2 linked regions of the Neodiprion lecontei genome follow. The protein of the gene in region 2 purifies or fractionates together with the protein of the main gene of each other region. This does not show direct contact. Links are inferred from orthologs where the notes say so. Each region holds a gene or a part of one and is shown on either strand. Other genes may lie near its edges.

Region 1 (4,637 bases), on a different chromosome or scaffold from region 2:
AACCACTTATGTTTAATTTTGTTATAACGGAGTTGTACATTATTTTATTATTTCTGTTCGTGACAGATGTTTTAAATAAAATTGTTCTGAGGAGGGCCCCCATCAGGGCTGAAACGTTAACACAATACAAAAAAGTGTTTTGATGTCTCGACCTTCATATCCAAGAATAATATTACTCAACAATTCACCAAGGTCAAGAAAAAAATCGTCTTCATAAGTATATAGCATTCGTACCGCGCAGATGTTGGTTCATGGTACTATGTAATAAATCTATTCAAACTAAACAGTCAATGTTTTAGCGATTATTCCTCTTGTAGATACATAACATATATTTTACTCCATTCCGAGTAAATATTCATTGTCGTTTGAAATGAAAATTGGAAGAATTTTTGTAGGAGTTTCTTTTGCAAAAAAAAAAAAACGTTCGCGATGCATACATAATTCGTAAATTTATTTGATATTGCTTACAGCATTAATTACGAGCAGCGACGTATGATAGCGAACACTATGGTAGTCAAAGCTCGAATTTTAGTTGTTCGACAGATCGAGTCTGTATTAGTAATGCATATTCGTAAAGCGAAAGACCTGAGAGACCAAATAAATTATCACGATGGAGGCAGCCACTTTCCAATTTAAAATTATTATACCCGTTCATTAATTTTGAGTCGTAAATCAAGAGAAACGTAATCGATGTAATACTCCATACTAGACACTTCATTTGCAAACCTGGAACATATTTGCAAACGGAAATGAAAAATTCTGTACTCCAAATAACACTTATATATTTTTGCTATAACTATGTCAGTAAATAAGCAAACGCATTGTAAATAGCATTTTATATTTTTCGATAAATTGTATACGGCTTTGAGCTGTGAGTATATAATAAACAGTTACGAAAACCTGCAATTAGTAACATACTTTACTGTAACCTCATTTTTTTGCAAAAATGCATCGATCTGAATGGATTATTTTGACAATCGATTTATTAGCTACTAATTATTGATATTTTGTACCGATTCTGTGCTGTCAATTAATCATCTGAATCGATTCTTCATGCTGAAGATCGATTCAATGCAACTTCAGAGCGTGATAATAAGAGTACGCCTATCACCTATGCGGCACGAAAGTGTTGAAAGGATGGTAACATTGTTTGATACCAAAAGTGTTTCAAACAGTTTCAAAAAGGATCAAGCCTGTGCTTTATAATCTATACATCCTACAGATTGCAATGATTGTTGATGGTATATCGTTTTAGGGAGTTTGTTAATTTCTCGTTCACCAATGGTATATATTTTGAGGAGTTTTGCATATCATTTCTTGTATTTTTCAAAAGTTCAAAAATACTTCGATCTTGGCGGGATTGATCTTTTGTCATGAAATCGATTCAGGAATTGGTCGGTTATGTATCGGTTCAAATCGATTATCAAAATCGATTCATTCGAAAAGTTCCGTGCACCCCTTACAATTAGTTTTCACTCATTTTTTAGGAAAATTTCTGGTGCAGATATTTCGCTATGAAAGTTCCAATGGAAATTTTGTTCTACATAAAAGATTGATTTATCATAGTACAATGTATTCCTATATACGTTCAGAAAATATTTACTGGTATAATCTTCAATGTTAGCTGCGATTAATCGGTTGAATACCTGTAATAACGCAAAATAAAATTTCATTTCTGGAACCGCGACGAGTGTATGCATTTTCCTACCCGACATATTATCCGTACAGGTTTCCATGCTATACGAATTTGAATTTATTTGTATCATCATGGAAGAATGAGTTGTGAAGCCATCAATAATATGCAGTGATGTGGGATATTCAGTGTTCATATATTAGGCTACTGTTTAAAATTGATAAAAACCGTATTCCGGGCCTATTTCAACTCTCTATGGTTATGAATTCCGACGACAAAATAATTTGAGATTTACATACACTGCTTTGCGGCAACGAGTGGTCGCGATCGGTTGCACAATTATCGATGATATGAGGTAAAATTTCATATGTCTAATATTCTGCGCTCATCATTTACAATTAGTAGCATCCTCTGACACGAAATAGGTTATTGAAACTAAATTCTGATGTGCTCGGTCGGTAACCACCCAATACTCTGCCATATTAAGCATCAGTGTTCGCGTCAGCGAACGCTACTGAAAAACCCGACATGGCCTCTCTTACAATTAAGCAAAGATCTCAAGGGTCCGTTCTGCACAACAAAGGCACAAATTGAAATGCAAAGTGCAGAAGGTTTCTCTCTGCAAAGTGTTTGCATTGACTGAAGAATACTGAACACATTGTCAGAAAAACGGTGAAAGTAGTTGGTCTATCTATAAAGAATATAGTTTCTATGATCATTGGTAAATCCGAATGCGTTGTTTATGACGTTCTGGCGTGGTGACAGTTGCGAAAACCTTTTAGTGAGCTAAATTTCGACGATATTTTCTGTTATACCAGTTGGATCGATTAATTTATTCTGTTACGACGATTGGCGGGTAGGTTGAAGATGTTTTTACAACCAAAATACCGAGTCACAGGTGGCGCGTACATTCTTGCAGTTCAATTGTTGTCAAATTTCACAATTCATTGACCCCTAAAATATTTATTTCCACGTTTCCCTTCGTAGGGAAAAATGAGTTTCCCAGACAACCAGGACGACATGTCAAAAGACGAATGGGTTGCCAAACTCGAGGATGGGTCCCACATACAACGTGTTTCCATGAATAACCTAATAATGAATTACCTTGTCACAGGTAACCTCAAGTCACGATTTGAGATCTTATTTAATATGACAAAATGAACCAAAGCAAGTACGGGATTCACACAAACTCTCAATCCACACTTTATTTCCATGTTTAGAAGGCTTCAAAGAAGCGGCGGAAAAGTTTCAACAAGAATCTGGAGTCGGGCCGACGGTTGAACTAAATTCTTTGGATGATAGAATTCGTATTAGAGACGCTATCCAAAATGGCCGAATTCAAGAAGCCACTGATCTGGTCAATCAGCTACATCCAGAGCTTCTCGATAATGACAGATATCTTTATTTCCACCTGCAGCAACTTCACCTTATAGAATTGATACGTACTGGCCGAATCGAAGAGGCTCTCCAGTTTGCTCAAGAACAGTTGAGCGAAGCTGGGGAATCTGATGACAATATATTAAGTGAGCTGGAACGTACCTTGGCTTTGCTAGCATTCGATGAACCACACAAAAGTCCCTTCAGTGATCTTCTGCACCCAACGCACAGACAGAAGGTAAATTGTCGTAAGTCATGTAACTTGATTAAGGATCTGTAATAATAAGAATATCCTAAGTCGCGAGTTTTACCCACAGTATTTACAATTGAACTAAATTTAAGAACTTACTGAAGACTGTATTCTATTCTGAATCCATATCGCATATTTTCAACTACATACTATTTGCAATAATGATACGCAACTAGGTTTTTCTAAATAGCGGTAGGAAACCATGAAAACTTTTGATTGTGTATATTCCAAATGCAAATTGCTCAGATACACATCGCATTCACATTTTAAGTCATTTCAGCTGCAACTAAACTGACACAAAAAGTACTTTAACCTTTTAGCATTTCTACATCAAATTAATATGTTTATAAACTGAAAAAACTTTTTGAGATAAGTATGACTTGATGAAACTTCTGTTTACATGCTATTTCATTTTTTTTTTTAAACCCAATGTCCTCTTAATATTAGTATATGTTGCAGATTGCAAGCGAGCTGAATGCCGCCATCTTAAAAATGGAACACCGCGAGACTACCAGCCCTAGACTAAATAATTTATTAAAAATGATACTTTGGGCTCAGGATGAGCTGGATACCAAGAAAGTGAAGTATCCCAAAATGACAGATTTGGGTAGTGCCACAATCGAAAATCCAAAGTAGTATTAATTAAGTAAAATGATGTTATAAGAGATGTCAGAATTCAGAAATTTATTTATAGGAATATCCTTGGTAATGTGATTAAATTAAGTCTTAAAATAAATGTTTATCTTGTATTCAACTCAACTTTTTATTCGTGCAAAATATATTTACAAATTTTAAACCCCACCACGGTATTTTACTACATTCCTAAACACCCAGATCCTGTGTGTGTTTTGATCAGAAAAATGTTAATGAAATTTTGAATTGCACTGCCCATCACGTTACGACAAATCTGAAGAGTTATTAATACACGCTCCTTGACTGACTTGGATAATGATATACAGAATAAAAAAATCTGTTTTCTTTATTTTATACACAATTACATGATGTTTGCCTACAGGTAAAAGTTAAAAAAAATTAGCAGTGTACCGTAACTTTAAATGACATCAAGTTAGTACGGAAAAATTCATGTCCAATTCTTTACACAATAGAGTACGTCATGAATGTTAGAAAATATATCTTTGCAAATTACATACTTATATTCTAAAAGTGACATTGGCATTTGTTATTTACTGTTAATTGTTGGACATTCAAACATACGAATCGATCCCATATTGATGTAGCGTGACAATGATGGTATAAGATGGTTAATTGAATACAACGAGTCGACTTTACTGCACCCTCAATTACAAAAATTAATATTTATCACTTGATGCGAACAAAAAAACAACCGTACAAAATTATACTAAAATTCGTCAGATT
Region 2 (8,117 bases):
AGATACTTGGTTGTGAAACATTTACAGGCTTTTTTGAAAATAAGAGATTGGTAAATAATATACCTGTATTACGATGTTGGTTGATAATATGGTGTTTGTTGACGTACTTGCAAATTGTCGCACCATACGTGATACGTTACGCGAAGATCTGATTACAAAAAAATATTTATCTCTTGACAGCATCTGTTCAGCTCACGGAAATATTTCCACCTCAAATTAAGCCTCCGCCAGCAAACATAGACGATATCGTCCATCCTGACCTTCTCACTTATCGCTGTCTCGGGAATTTTTCATTGTTTAACAATTTCTATTCATTAACTATTTGAAAATTTCGTAATGTAAACTATTGGAATATCAAGTAGGCACCTGAAACTGATTACCTGAATCTTTTGCAAACTTTTGAAAATCTCTAAGTGAAGGGAAAAAGAACTCGTGTGACGAAATCGTTGATATTGACTGACGACATCAGTAAAATAACACATGACCGGCGGAGGGTTAACGAGTCAGATAGAAGTGTGAAAATCACATGCGTGTTTAGTCGAAAATTATTCAAAGGGCTGTGAGAAATTGAATATTTAGAGAGGAAGGTACGACGTGGTCTGTGTACCCTGCTGTTATTTTTCAAAGAAACCTTTATTAAACATAAGTTTTATATTTTTATATTATGCCTTTTTCATTGTTTGTATTCAAAAAGTTTGACAAAAAATATTTCAAATTATTAAATTGGATACGAATATCTAAATTGCTTGAAATTAGAAAGTAAGTACGTATGTATACATATATAATTTGAAGATAAAGAAAAAAAAAACTACCCAATTTGGTCTGAGTTTAATTTTTATTAAACAACAAGCCATTGTATCTACGTTATCATCAGTTTTCCATTCATGATTTTCGACTTCCTTGATCAATTGTGTAAGTTTTTATTTTTCTACTTCAAACGAGATATGTAACTAAGTGTTCAATGCTAGATATATAAGTCTGCATCAATAGGTGAAAATTTACTTCGTTAAGATAAAAAAAAAAAAAATCAGACATACGAATAATACTGTAAAGTATAAGTTAGACCAACCTTTGATAGTGCGTTGAAATTACTTGCAGTTTAGTAATAATAATCACGCCAACATTTATTATCGACCATGAGAGATTAATAAAATATTATTATTCATATTGTTTACTACCCACATGTAAGCTCTAACTAAAACTGTGACACAATTATTGCGCTAATCATTCTGTTCACGTTTCAATTAAGCATTAACGGTTTGGTCCTCAATTCAGGACAGAATTGACGTGCTAAGAAAAGGGTGTACCAAATGATGAAAACGTATTTTATATACAATTAATGATAAGAAGATATGACCTAGACTGACTGAAAGTCTAGTAAATCGATGATATTGTCTGATGATTGCGATACGAAAGAGAAGGGAATAAATGAACAAATTACACGATCGTAATAGTTGGGGAATATCTGTAATAACAATATTTATTGTCTGTACACGGCCAATGGGGTATTGGAAATACCTGATTTTTGTGTATAATCGGTAGGTGTACATAATCGTCATCTTGTTAAATAAATGAATATATTATTTAATATAATATTAATTCTTCAGTCGCAATGTCTTGACTAAATCATTCCCTCCAAATTATTTCTATATTTCAAACTCATCCAGTTTTATTTCTTGTTTTTTTTTTTATTCTTACATGTTTCGCATTTGCTTTCGAATTTACTAATGAAACTTGATACGAATACGCAAAATGGGGTCACGAAACAGTGTCAGTAGGTACGAAAATTCAGAGCTGACACAGAGAAATGAAAGCAGTCAATAACGATCCGTTGCGACGCATTTAATTTTGACCTTAGAATAGAAACAAATTTTCGACTATCAGTTGCTGATTGCGGCCAAATCATTGAGTGATTCAAAAATATTTAAAACGTTTCATCGGTGATCGCCGTAGTGCCGCGCTACACATGCGGATGTAATAAATACATTCATAGATATCTGACTTATGTATAAATTTCGGAACTTCGAAAAGGTTATGTCACTCGTGCAGCAATATGGCGGCGTGTGAGAGTGAAGATTTTCACAAGGTTTTGGAGTATAGAATTTTCAAATGCTCCAGCTACTCGTCGACCTATGTACCTGAGTAAGTATTTAAATTATCGACTCCTTTGAATCAGATAGAATCGTCGTGTGTCATCGAGCTGGCATCTGCCCACGACACGTAGAAATTTTACTACGCGTTCTTAACCTCAAACGAAAGCATTTTCTGTCAAGGACAACGCGTTCGGTTTCACTTAAACGAGGCTATTCACGGTCTCAAGGCCGAGCGGCGCGTGCAGGGTGAATAAACGGTTCATTGACCTTATTTCCCATATTTTCAGGAATATTCTCGTAGACGTACCGTCGGATCAATCCTCTCGCTGGTCCTCTGACAATGACAATCATCCTCAGGTATTACGTGCAGTGTGATAACGATGATTTACTTTCTCTATTATGCAATCTTAGCTTGATTTAAACCTACACCCTTAGCTCTTTGTAACACGAATTTCTTTACTCTTCTCCTGTTGCAGTTTCTCATTCTCAAACTCCAACATCAGTCCATCGTCAAAACTATCACGTTTGGTAAATATGAAAAAACTCATGTTTGTAACATCAAGAAATTCAAAGTTTTTGGTGGACTTGAACCGGAGAATATGATGGAGCTACTAGAAAGGTGAGATGCTTCCTTCAAGCATATTTCAATTAGACAACAAACGATTCTGTTTTACCTAAACTCGTCTTTCACGTCTCGTTTTCCTTGCAGTGGTTTGAAAAATGACTCTACACCAGAAACATTCGACCTCAAACATGTGGTCGGGAATGACGAGAACTATTTTCCGATTAAGTACCTGAAAATTCTTCCCCTGCAATCCTGGGGCCCCAGTTTTAACTTTTCTATCTGGCATGTTCACCTCGCGGGAGTCGATGACCAGAAACTTGTCAAAAGCAGCATTGAATGTTTTAACTCTGTATGTATTTCGCTTTTCACTTTTTTAAGACATCCTAGAACATTTTGTCAGATGCATTCAGCTAATTTAGGTACCTAAGTTAAAGTACAACTTTCCAGTAATAGCAGGTTAGACAGCAGCATAATACCAACGTTTTTATTCCACTAAACAAGGTGACTATGAAACCTTAACCGTAGATGTCCTTTAACTATAACGGAGTATTGATTAAGCATAGTAATTTTCTAAAATTTGCTCATTTTAAAAATTATTGTCAAAGATTCACATTGTTTACCCTCATCTGGCTTCTTGTTGCTTTAATTTATTTGTAACTAATTATTGTAGTACCGTCAGAAAGAGGTGTTACGACTGTGTATGAAACATTTTCGCCGCTTGGAATATCCGGAAATTGTCAATACTCTTCAAAGAGTTACTGGGGTGAGTCTTGAGGATTCCAGACTGTCAACACTGTATGATATATTGGTAACCAAGGGGGATCACTGCCAGGCAGAAAGATTCATTAGCAACGCTGTAAACAGTAAGTTTCTGGTATTTATCAAGGTTATTCAAAAAGCAATATTTAATTAAAAAATTTCATCCTTCATCCATGAAAACTTGGTCATTTTTCGATTCAGTGGGACTTTTCAATGAGTATATAAATGCTCAGGCTTACCGAGCTATATGGACAAAAATATTTTCCAAGGATCCAAAACCTGGAATGAGGGGTGGGCATCAAATGGTTTTGGACCCATCGGCGGAAATGTTGTATCTGTTCGGTGGCTGGGATGGAAATCAGGATTTGGCTGACCTTTGGACCTATAATGTATCAACTGACAAGTGGCATCTTATTTGCAAAGACACAGAAGCAGTGGTTAGTCAATGATCACGGTCTTGCGATATCAGGTTGTAGGATCTGCAACTAACATAAGCTATATTTCAGGGTGGTCCTACCGCCCGGTCTTGTCACAAAATGTGTTTGGACCCAGAAAGGCGTCAGTTGTTCACTCTGGGACGGTATTTAGACACTCAATATCGCTCGCCAGAAAATCTGAAGAGCGATTTTTACGTTTATGATATTGAGTCTGATAAATGGACACAGATATCTGAAGATACCGGAGCCGTCGGTGGTCCTCAATTGATTTTCGACCACCAAATGTCAATGGACGTCGCTAAGAGAACTATCTATATTTTCGGTGGACGTGTTCTTGTGCCATCGCATGTGTGAGTAAAACTTATATTGAAAGTGAAAATGAAAATTTTGGCTCAGATTAAATAAATTCCAATCAATTTTTCAATCTATCTTATCACTCTGCTTCCTTTAGGATTGAGGATAACCATGGAGTTACACCAAACGTGACAGAACCAGTATTTTCTGGATTGTATTCGTACCATGTGCCAACTGGGACCTGGAGTAGGCTCGCTTGTGATATTGCGAGACCCAGTCCGCCTAATATACCAACAATTAGGTCCAGAGTTGGACATTCCATGCTATTTCATCCGGTATGTCACTTCTTGTTCGTTGGATGTTGTGCTCCTTAATCTTCGATAATACGCATCTAATTCATATGCCCAAAATAAATAAACTCGTAGCTACTTGTCAAACAATGTAATTGGTAATAAGTGGCTCTATCATTTATAATAATGTAAAAAAATTTCTAGGAATTCAGAAAACTATACATATTTGCGGGACAGAGGAGTAAAGAGTATCTAAACGATTTTTTTACCTTCGAAGTAGACACCGAGACTTTGGAACACATCAATCTCAGTGACTTGGGAAACCGGGATTCAAATCATGTTCCCGCGGCTGGTTTTACCCAGAGGGCTACTATTGATCCTGAACTTGGCGAGATTTACGTTTTATCTGTAAATACGTAACAATGTTCTTTTTCTTTATGGCTCATCAATTGGTTTCAGCTATTGGTGATTACTTAATATTAAGAATCAACATAAAACCTCAGCGCTCACAGATGACTCTTACTTACAGGGTCTGAGCAAAGACAAAGAGAAGAGAGACGACAATGTTCAAAATTCTCTTTGGGTCTACAATATTAAAGAGAACCGATGGTCTTGCATATATCGTAATGAAAACGTTGGTGACAAGTATTGGAATAGTATGCAGGATTACGAGCCTTGTCCTAGATTTGCCCACCAGCTTGTGTACGATCATATTCAAAAGGTGAGCCACGCTGATTAAAATAGTCAAGGTGAACTCTGATTGCTTTCAGCTTTGACCGTTACTATTTCATTACGTTTCATATGCCGCAGGTCCATTATTTATTTGGAGGAAATCCGGGGCGCTCTTGTCTGCCAAAATTGAGGCTGGATGATTTTTGGCAGCTGGAACTCTGTAGACCCTCTCATGAGCAGATTTTGAGGAAATGCAAGCTGATAATAAGGAAGCACAAATTCGAAGAATTGGCTATGAAAAATAGCATCGAGGCTCTCGAGTACCTGCAGACACAAGTATACGAAATCATCGATCATGCCGATCCGGAGCAAACCAAAGAGGTATAAATCGTGTTTTAGACATAATTTAGACGTTAAAAACGTCAACTATCGGCTATCTCGTTTTTTTTTTCTATTTTGCAAAATATTAAGCTTAATATAGTAGTGATATTTGTTGTATCGTAGTTTCAGTTACTGGCTTCAGTTCTTTTCCGAGAGCAAGAAAGAAGCATGGATAACAGTTTAGATCTGGATCCAGCATCCAGCACTAGTTCCAGTGATCGAATTAATTCAGTGGTGCCAAAGAATTTTACGATGCACGACATCCACGCTCGCCGTACGGAATTGTTTGACAAACTTACCGAATTTTTTCCTGAAAGTTTAACTCAGCCGCGAGCAAATCTTATAGACCTTTTGCCATTGTGATATTTTTAACATGGTTAACGTACTTAAAAGTTATACTAATTTCGCGATTTTTTTTCCAATCACACACCAAAATCATACTTAGCCTATGTTTTCTTTATTGTATGTATAATTCAACAGCAACAAATAACAGACTGTTAGTCTTTTCGTTTAACAGGTATAATATCAAAGTCACGTGTTATTTATAATATTTTATTTTCATATTTAGCTCGTATAATTTCGTTTCAATATTACTACCGTGTATAAAAAATTACGACCAGTTGTAGTTCAGTTCATCATTATTTTTATACATACGGACAGCGATAATGATAACGTTTGATAGATTCGTTTCTGCAAGTAGTTTTGAAATAATGCCAATAGTCGTACTTTTTTTGATTATTTTTCATGAAGACTGTAATATTACATTTTATACGATTGTTTGTATCATTATATTTAACTTTAGAAATTTGGTTTAACTCTCTTTATTTATCAACTGTATCATCCTGTTATTCATCTCCGGTTTTACAATTGATTGAACTGTACGAAAAAAATTTTTTTTTCGAAGCCCGTACCTTTTCTCGCAATCAGTCAACGTTAATTTGCCATTCTACTTTATATTTTACCTTGTATTCGGTGTATTCGTTATTTTTAAAATGCATTGAGGAAAATACCCCAGTTTTTTTTTTTTCATTTTTGTCAGATTACATTAAATGAAACTTGGACCATTCACATGTTTGAAGGCAATTTTATTTTTACTTTCAATAGATTTTTATTTTTACAATTGCGAATTATTATTGTTGTTAATACTTGTTTACTTTTATCATTTTGTTCGCAACCTAAAATCTCTGTGAATTTCCGATTTACATGCTTGTAATACTGAAACTATAACTATATAGCAATTATTTGCCTCTCTGCTCTTTGCGAATTGTTATTCGTAATACTTGCTTAAACCTGAAGTTCATAATACAATGATCTACAACTGATAATATATATTGTCTAGATGCGTATTTATATAAAAAAGTTCTAAATTTACTTTAAATATTTAAGTGTACAGTGGTTTTATTATTGAAAATGATCTTAAGCTTCCGCTTGCCATAGTAATGAGTTGTTAATAGACTATTATGAATAAGCTCTAATAATAATAAAATAACAAAAATACAAATAATTAATATTTTATATTGCGTAGCTTTGTAAATATTTTTCATTAAGTTTTCTGTCGATATCGATTCTCTGTAATGTAACTGACATAATTTATACAATAATACATATACATATTATATATGTGTTTGTATATGATCACAATCTAACGATTATAAGATAACGTTAATGTGTATACAAACGTTAAATTTTTGGCATAATAACGCACTTTGGCATACTAGATAATCATACATCGAAATCTGTTACATGTCTCATCCAGATATTTCGTACTTTGAAAGGAGTAAAGCGAAAAATTGAATCTTTCATTATCCACCACGTGGCTAGATTGGTGGTTTTTTTTTTACACCTCCAAGCTACGACACATTATTTTTATGTAAATGTGTGTTGTCTATTAAACTTATCCATCGCTGTTCAATAGTAGCGCGAAGTAATTATTCACAATTGCATGGATTATACATGTAACGTAATTTCTACTTTTCCACAATTTGAAATGTTGAGAATTTATTCTATACTATTTGGGGGCATAACAAATGCATCAAATAGTGGAATATTTTTTAGGAAGTGGAATGTCTCAAGTCCAATTAATTAATACTTCATGGCCAAAAACATATTCATTTCCACAGATATGCTAATTTCGCACCTAAACAAACCATAATACTTAGGTGCTGTAACACACCTAAGCTTGAATGTTTCCTAGAATGAACGCGATTTCTTTTTTTAAAAATATAATGCTAGTTATGCGATGAGATCAACTGAAAAACGATCTGCGTATTGAATGGTGCATTGGAATATATATATATATATATATATATATATATATATATATATCTTAATACAATCTTAATACATAAAAGTTTCTCCATTTCACACAATATGCATGTTCTATTTGCACACGTAATAATGAAAGTGTGAAAAAAAAAATTAACATTTCTTCAAACATAATACAATCCATACTACGTTGGATATATATCTTCGGTCAACATATACTTTAATGTTGAGAAGTTTATAATCGTTGAAGTTTTTGTACAAAATTTATTATCCGCAGTAGTGGTCAAAGAATTCCTCGAAGTGAAATGTCTCGTTACAGGATTTTCTGCCGATATAGGAATGATAATAAAACTAAGTCACT

Evidence for each region. The genes of interacting proteins can lie anywhere in the genome.
Region 1: the proteins of muskelin (region 2) and glucose-induced degradation protein 8 homolog purify together in Homo sapiens (affinity purification with mass spectrometry; 4 studies listed by BioGRID and IntAct, with this or other methods). This does not show direct contact. The link is inferred for Neodiprion lecontei from reciprocal best matches to the Homo sapiens genes MKLN1 and GID8.

Annotation. Positions count from the first base shown.
Region 1 is NC_060263.1:40,321,152-40,325,788, reverse strand, and holds glucose-induced degradation protein 8 homolog, read left to right. Parts: upstream 1-2,169; 5' UTR 2,170-2,489; intron 2,490-2,620; 5' UTR 2,621-2,626; coding exon 2,627-2,747; intron 2,748-2,853; coding exon 2,854-3,248; intron 3,249-3,707; coding exon 3,708-3,896; 3' UTR 3,897-4,009; downstream 4,010-4,637. UniProt on the Homo sapiens protein: Core component of the CTLH E3 ubiquitin-protein ligase complex that selectively accepts ubiquitin from UBE2H and mediates ubiquitination and subsequent proteasomal degradation of the transcription factor HBP1.
Region 2 is NC_060260.1:37,761,179-37,769,295, forward strand, and holds muskelin, read left to right. Parts: upstream 1-1,795; 5' UTR 1,796-2,053; coding exon 2,054-2,142; intron 2,143-2,380; coding exon 2,381-2,450; intron 2,451-2,569; coding exon 2,570-2,712; intron 2,713-2,802; coding exon 2,803-3,007; intron 3,008-3,111; coding exon 3,112-3,159; intron 3,160-3,328; coding exon 3,329-3,521; intron 3,522-3,618; coding exon 3,619-3,854; intron 3,855-3,923; coding exon 3,924-4,204; intron 4,205-4,305; coding exon 4,306-4,483; intron 4,484-4,642; coding exon 4,643-4,846; intron 4,847-4,967; coding exon 4,968-5,159; intron 5,160-5,248; coding exon 5,249-5,491; intron 5,492-5,614; coding exon 5,615-5,854; 3' UTR 5,855-7,291; downstream 7,292-8,117. UniProt on the Homo sapiens protein: Component of the CTLH E3 ubiquitin-protein ligase complex that selectively accepts ubiquitin from UBE2H and mediates ubiquitination and subsequent proteasomal degradation of the transcription factor HBP1.